2 linked regions of the Caenorhabditis elegans genome follow. The protein of the gene in region 1 interacts with the protein of each later gene in a biochemical or structural test. Each region holds a gene or a part of one and is shown on either strand. Other genes may lie near its edges. The genes, in order: unc-27 and mup-2.

Evidence for each region.
Region 2: the proteins of unc-27 (region 1) and mup-2 interact in far-western blotting, tested with the Caenorhabditis elegans proteins (one study listed by BioGRID).

Annotation. Positions count from the first base shown.
Region 1 is NC_003284.9:8,787,829-8,791,421, forward strand, and holds unc-27 (Troponin I 2), read left to right. Parts: upstream 1-1,627; coding exon 1,628-1,777; intron 1,778-1,828; coding exon 1,829-2,100; intron 2,101-2,180; coding exon 2,181-2,322; intron 2,323-2,377; coding exon 2,378-2,507; intron 2,508-2,554; coding exon 2,555-2,589; 3' UTR 2,590-2,793; downstream 2,794-3,593.
Region 2 is NC_003284.9:6,407,749-6,411,848, forward strand, and holds mup-2 (Troponin T), read right to left. Parts: upstream 2,480-4,100; 5' UTR 2,461-2,479; coding exon 2,438-2,460; intron 2,386-2,437; coding exon 2,317-2,385; intron 2,266-2,316; coding exon 2,154-2,265; intron 2,088-2,153; coding exon 1,710-2,087; intron 1,659-1,709; coding exon 1,452-1,658; intron 1,380-1,451; coding exon 951-1,379; 3' UTR 723-950; downstream 1-722. UniProt on the Caenorhabditis elegans protein: Troponin T is the tropomyosin-binding subunit of troponin, the thin filament regulatory complex which confers calcium-sensitivity to muscle actomyosin ATPase activity.

The sequences.
Region 1 (3,593 bases):
TTTACCCATATGACAACCGCTCATGTATAATAATATTTCGTAACACTTGTGCCCCCACTACTGCTCAACGTTTTTAACCAAAACATCATCATCGCCTCCATCAGCTATTTTTCTGTATCTTCTTCCGATGTTTCTCTTTCTCTATATACTCGTTGCAATGAACAATGTATCAAAAGAAAGATAGAGCTTGCCGCATCAGAAGAAAACAGTGTAAACTATTCGGAGATTGGCAGAAAAGCGTGATAACACAGTTGAAAACAATTCAAGATAAGAATGTGAATGTTTATGGAAAAAAGTGTTAAAAATAAACAGGACAATAGATCGGTTTAATCCATCACTACTCCATAAACTAAAATGGGTGTGAAAATAGTTACAGGGAATTGGAATTTATTTACAAGTTTCGGGTTGTTATTTACCATTGTTGGAAAATGTAGATTTTTCTCGTTGTGATCTGATTTTTGAATGTGTGATTTTTTTAATGATTTAGATTCACTTATTTTATAGTCTTGTCAAAAATAACTACTTTATGATAACAACTGATAAATTCAATTTGAAAGTAATAATATTCAACTTTTTGTGATAACTAATGATGATTTGCATACCCAATTTCATTATCCCCGCTATCTTTTTTCTTTATCACTTATCACAAATCTCAAACATCTGCCCACACCTCGCAACACTTTCAACTCATGGTCCCTAACATATTGAATTTCAAGAGAGTCTCACCGGCCACCGTGACTATTTTTATTGTATTTTTCCACACGTCACACTTGTCAGCTTGTCAATTTTTTTTTAGGTTTTTTTGTTTTCTGACCTACTCAAATCCTACGTGACAGCATGAAATTATGGAACTGAAAGAGAAATGGTTGAAAACAAAACACTGTGAAAAAATAAATAAAATTATTCTTGATTCTGATGAAAAATGTCATGTTCCAATTCACTTTTGAAACAATTTATCCAACAAATATTTACAGATCTCACTAGCGAGCCATGTCACAACTACAAAAAAGCAATCGAATTGATGAACTCAGTGACACCGTTGAAAAATCAGTATGTTATTTTAAAAATTGTTTAGGTATTTTTAGTAGTACGATTTTGATTTTTGATCACATATCTTCTTTTTGAAAATACAGAAAAACTACAGACTAGCTTCATAAATTGTTCGGAGCCCCATTCACCGAATAGCTCATAACTTGACCCACTGCCCCATCTGAAACCAATATCTTCTTGCCGCGTTCCGTTGGTTTTTTCCACTGAAGTTGCCACAGCTCTATCCCTATCTCTCGCTTGTCTTCAATCAATCTCGGCCAACGCAATTGGTAGGCAAGAATCATTACAACAAGCGGGAGACGTGTTGGAAAGAGCATCTGTCTGTATGGCATTGTCCGAGAGACCCAAAGATACAGAATTGGAGGGCGGGCGGTTTGTGGGGCGGCTGTTGCCAACTCTAGGTACCTCTCACGAGTTGCGACATCTATTGGCAGGATACTTCAGATTTCAATTCACAAGGCCTTCGGATGCATGATCAGGCTCGCCGCTAATTTGTTTTATGCTCATTCAAAAATTATTCATTTTGTGAATTTAATCTTCTGTTTTGTGATACTTGTACCCCAAACTAAAATTTCAGATGAGTGAAGAAGCCGGAGAGGACGCCCAGCGCAAAGCTGCCGAGCGCGAGGCCAAGAAGGCCGAGGTGCGCAAGCGTCTCGAAGAGGCCGGAAACAAGAAGAAGGCCAAGAAGGGATTCTTGACACCAGAGCGTAAGAAGAAGCTTCGTGTAAGTTGTGTTTTTGGAACACTTAAATGTTTAACTTATTTTTGATTTCAGAAGCTTTTGATGGTCAAGGCCGCCGAGGATCTTAAGAGACAACAATTGCTTAAGGAGCAAGAAAGACAAAAGGCTCTTGCTGACAGAACCATCTCACTTCCAAATGTTGACTCCATTGATGATAAGGGACAACTCGAGAAGATCTACAATGACCTCTGGGCTCGTCTTACCCAGCTCGAGGAGGAGAAGTACGACATCAACTACGTCGTCTCCCAGACTGAGGCTGAGATCAACTCCCTCACTATTGAGGTCAACGATCTTCGTGGAAAGTTGTGAGTTTTTATCAGTTTTTGATGAATTTCCCATATATGTAAAATCATCCAAAGTATTGATTTTACTTTTTATTTTTCAGCGTCAAGCCTTCACTCAAGAAGGTGTCGAAGTACGACAACAAGTTCAAGAAGAGCGGTGAGAGCAAGGCCGGAACCAAGGAAGACTTCCGTGCCAACCTCAAGATTGTCAAGAAGGACGTTATGGAGGCCATCGTCAATGTTGTAAGTTTTATCTGCAATGTTCGAGAATTTTGATAAACAAATATTTCAATTTCAGAAGAAGAAGGACGACAAGCCAGATTGGTCCAAGAAGAACAAGGATGCCAAGGCCGAAGACTCCGCTCCAGCTGCCGTTGCTCCAGAAGCTGAGCCAGTTGCAGAGGAAGCCGAGGCTGAGCCAGAAGCCGGTTTGTCAAAAATGATTTAGATTTTCTCGATAACTGAAAACTTGCAGAGGAAGAGGAAGGAGAGGAGGAGGAGGAGGAGTAAACTCCTAAATCCATCACTTCAATCCTGCTCAACATCATCCAAATCGACGTCATCAAACCGAACAACCCCCCTCCCCAAAAAAAAATATGCCAACATCAATATTCTGTAGTTTGTAAAATACTTTTTTACCATTTTATTCTTCCTTCGATGGGTCCCGGAAATTTAAATGTCAACAACGTGTGTGCTAATAAAATCTTGGTGGTCAGACTTGTGTGTTTGAATCCTTGAAGAAATATGAGAAGGAAGTGTGAAGTGTAGTAGGGAGTGTCTGGTTAAAAGTGATAAGTGAAGGAGAACGTGGGAGGAAAACATGAGAGGATCACTCTCCTGGGCTCTAAGAATAGTGCGAATAATTTTGGGACGCTTTGACAAACTCATTTGTCAGATAACGTTTCAAAAAGTATTTCAAATATTTTTGACACAATTTTGAAACACTCACAACATTCAACACCACAGACGCCAAAAAAACTGTTCTTGCAATTTCAAAATTTCGATCAAGTTTCCATCTGTTGAAAATTGATACATGAAAATATCTCTTTTAATTGTGCAGAACTTAATCAGCAATATTCATATTCACAGTTTAGCTGTTATGATACAATGCTGCAGTAAATTTGAAGATTATCGTGATCTATGGAGAAAATCAAGGGAAGTTGATAGCTTGGAAAAGCAAACAGGAGAGCACATTTCAATGAAAAGTCAATAGTTTTCCAAAAGTACTGTACTAGTATATTACTGAGTCTAATAAACAAAAAAAAACTGGTATCAGACAAGTTTTTCCTATCAGTTTTCAAAGATTAATTCAAATCTAATTGGGGAACATTTTTAAGATTATTTAAATGGCAAAGTTTAAATGTTTTCATTAAACATACTTGATAAGTGTTAATGATCGTTCGGAAAGGTTTTTTTTGAACAAAACCGGTTGCCATGTGTGCTACGTGTGAAAGTTATGTTTCATCATTGTTCCTCACGCGTTGTCATCAGCAAAGATCTGCACCGTACAGGTA
Region 2 (4,100 bases), 2.4 Mb from region 1:
ATTCTATTTTTCTGTTGTCATTTTATTGTACATTTCTCGATTTCCTGGTGTAAACTTTGTTGCTTCTCGGTTGTAATTCTCTACTGAAACCCAGTTCCTCACTGTTCTCGCCCCGTTGCTTTCATTTCTCACTTTGCGAAAAAAAAACATAAGCAAATACTATGAGGCCTATTTGTCAGACTTTCCAGATGTTCTTCCCAACCATAACTACTCCCCAAACTCTAAAAATTCCCCAGGTCGTTTTCAAAATTGGCCCCAGATGTGTGTCTCGTATCTGTTTTGCTTATTCAAATCTAACCAATAACTTTTATTTTTGAATTTGATAACTTGATTTTGAATTTGATAATGTGTATAATTTTTATCATAGAATGTTTTCAAATGCCTCTCTGATTAGTTTGTTACACACATCAAACTGTGGCGTGTCATGCCGATTTTCTCTCCTACCACAAAAAACTTTGCCCCAGAAATTCATCAACTTTGCTGTTGTAAGCAAATTTTTTCTCACCGCTTTCAAACGATTATTTTTCTCATTAGCTAGATCCCAATTTCTCATATTTTTCCAATTCCGTCTTAGTCCTTTCCTTTTTCAATTTATATTATTCATATATATTTTTTCCGTTGACTCGACTTATTCAAACTTTAATAATAAATATTATAATCAAAATTTGTCTTTCCACGAATTCTTGTTTTAATCTGTTTCATGAAATGCTTACAATTCGAATGGGAATGCAATTTTTATGATAAAGACTTTACTGATAAGCACAAACCGGAGAGTATGCAGAAACAGAGTACTTGAAGAATTGGAGAATTGGTTAATAAATTGGAAACAAATGCAAAAAGTTTTGATTGGAATATTAGAAAATGGATTTTTTTTGGTTGGGATTGGGTTTATTTTAATAAATTTGATAATCAAAAAATTGTGAAATGAAAAAAGGTAAAAAACAGGAAATTTATTCGACAACGACCTCTTCTCCAACATTTGGATCCTCGGTGACTTGTTGTGGCTCGAAGTCATCAGTTGGAACGAAGAGTGGGACTGGCTCGACTGGTGCTCTGGCTCCCTCAACCTTGACCTGCTCAACGTACTTTGGTGGCTCCAAGTTTTTGCGGATCTGCTCGAGTTCTTCGTTTTGCTTGCGTCCCCACTCTGCTGGTGGTCGTCCGGTTCCGCGGACGAGGGAAGCCTGCTTCTCCTCTTCTGGGTTCTCGAACAAGTACCGACGGTCTCCGTAAGATCTTCTGTCGGTTTGACGGTCGAACTTAGAAGCGGTGGTGATCTTTGGTGGATGGACAGAGGAAGCAGCCTCCTCTGGGTCAAGTCCCTTCTTGAGAGCCTTGTTACGGGCGGCTTGACGTTGACGCTCGTGTAACTCTTTCATCTGAAGTAATTGAAATTTGGTTGAATGTCACACACAATATCAAATAAGTCTCATTGAATAGTTTAAACTTACGTCATAGTCTTGACGTTCACGTCTCTTCTCCAAGTCGTACTTCTCAGCCTCGAGCTTGACGATACGAGCATGAAGGCCTCTGATTCTCTCCTTCAAATCGTTTGGAAGAAGTCCAGAGACGTCTTGTACACGGCAGACGGCGGCCAAGAAGTTTCTCTTGGCATCCTCCATCTGTTCCTTGCTCATGACATCCTTTCCTCCCTTAGCCTGAAAGTTTCTTAATTAGTATTCGATTTAAAAATGATACAATAAAAATACCTGAGCCAAGTTTCCGAATTGAGCAGCTTGGTCTCCCTTGGAGGCGACAGTGAAGTTGCGTCCAGCTCCGGCTTCAACTCTTCCGTTGAAAGCTCCAGCCATCATTTGTTGACGACGGACCTTCTCCTCGTTCTTGCGGATCTTCTCGGCATCAGCCTTAGCCTTGCGTTCGTCTTCTTCCTTGCGACGGCGCTCGTCATCTTGACGTCTACGTTCAGCGAACTGACGCTCGTCCTCTTCACGCTCAGCTCGGCGCTTCTCTTGCTTCTCCTTGAGTTCACGAAGCTCTTGTTCGATTTGCTCCTTCTCAAGAACACGGCGCTGCTCGTAATCGAGAAGTTTAGCGGCTTCCTCTTCCTCGTGACGCTTCTTGGCGGCCTAGATATGAATTTGGTTAACAATTTTATGAATGAAACGGAAGGTCTCCCAAGAAGTTATACTCACCAACATGGCAATCTCAGCCTCAGTCATCTCCGCTGGTGGCTTCTCCTCTTGGACTGGAGCACGACGCTCCTTGACCTCTGGTGGAGCGACTACTTCCTCGGTGGTCTCCTCTCTACAATTTCAGTGTTATACAAAAAATCACGAATTCAAAGCTTAAACTTACGGCTCTTCAGCCTCAGCTGGGGCCTCTTCGGTCTCCTCGACCTCCTCCTCCTCGACCTCCTCATCAGAGCTAAAAAATTAAAAATTAGAATGTCTAGAAAAATGATAGGTATATAACTTACTATACCTCCTCCTCGTCGGACATGATTAGTTAGGTTTAGGTTCTGTAATTATATGAAAGTTAAATTCTCAAAATTCAAAATCTCAAAACATATTGATAAGAAGTGATGACACAGAAGAAGAAGGAAATTTGAGTATGTGCCGGTGGGATGTTGAAATCGACAATGAAGAGATATGAAAGTGCTTGCTCCGGGAGGCCGTCGTTGGCAGATAAGTGGGAGGGGCTGGCGGGAGCGGGAGCTCTCAGGGAAAAGAAAAGTATAACATACGGACACAATCTGTGCTGTAAACCTTACACCTACGCAGAGTGAGCAGCCGTGCCCTCCTCGTGTGGCTCTCGTCTTTCTCTCTGCCTGGGGCTTCCCGCGGGCAGTCTGCGTTTCCTCAGAATACGCAGACTTCTGTGATGTGCTATCGTAGAAATAGGGCATCATGTTTCGATCCGAAGGCTCAATATATTTTTGAATCACCAACATTGATTCGAGAAACGGGTTTCTCTGCTTCTCTCTCGATCACCAAGATGTGCACTTCACTATCTCTTCCTCCTACGCTGACACAGACAAGGGACCAACAAGAGACAGATGATGATGAAGAGTTTGGACAAGTTGAAAAAAACAACATAGTTTATACTGGTCAATTGATAAAAATTTCTAACAAGTAGTTAATATGTTTTAGAAATTACTGTGATTTTCCTATTATTCTTGTATCTTCCACTGCACACTAATTCTAATTGGTCAGCTTTAAAATAATAAAAACGCGTTAAATATTTATGTGGTTCAAAAAGTTTTGTTAAAATTTAGGTAAAATACGGTAAACTTATTTTATAATTACGAATTTTCAATGAATCATCACTTTTATTTAAATATTTTAACGCGCAAATGAAAACGTAGTGCTCTTTAAAATTGATCCATTTAAAGTAAACAAATCATTTTAATATTTCTACAAATATTAAATTTCAAAATTCAATGTTTAGAAATCAATGATATTTGTGTAATAGTTTCCAATTTACCGAGGCACCTTGCCAATCGGCTATCATCTTTTTCCAACAAGCTCGTTTCCACCAAAAATCCACTCACAGTGGCCCCTGCAATAAGACAAGCGGGGCGAGCATACGAATAATATTTGGGTGGCACAATTGTAAAAACGCAAAACAATAATACAAATATTCTTTCTTTTCATTTGAATGCAGCTGATGATCTTCGAGACGTTTTCATTCAAATTCTTGTAAGCCAGTGTCAATTGGCCGTCTGGTTCAGTTGCGGGGATCCAATTAAGGGAATTTGAAAAATTGATTCTAAATAATAAATAAAACATTAATTTCAAAGAACATAATAATAAACAAGGCAAAAAAATTACGAAAAGTGTGTTCAATGTGGTGACAACAGTCCACACTAATTAAATTATTGCAAAAAAATAGTGTTATTCTAAGAAATACGAACATCTTTGTGAAATACAAAATAAATGTAGTAATTAATCATCAATTTCAAAACTTTAGTCTAATTAATTTGATATTAACATATGAGATCAAAGATATAGATTACATTTTCGAAAATGTCAAAAAATTACCCTTATTCAGAAAATGTATGTTTTTGACACCTTGTATTTTTCTTGTATTTTATAACATATTTTTTGAAACATTGTATTTTTGGTTTCTAACTAGCAAAT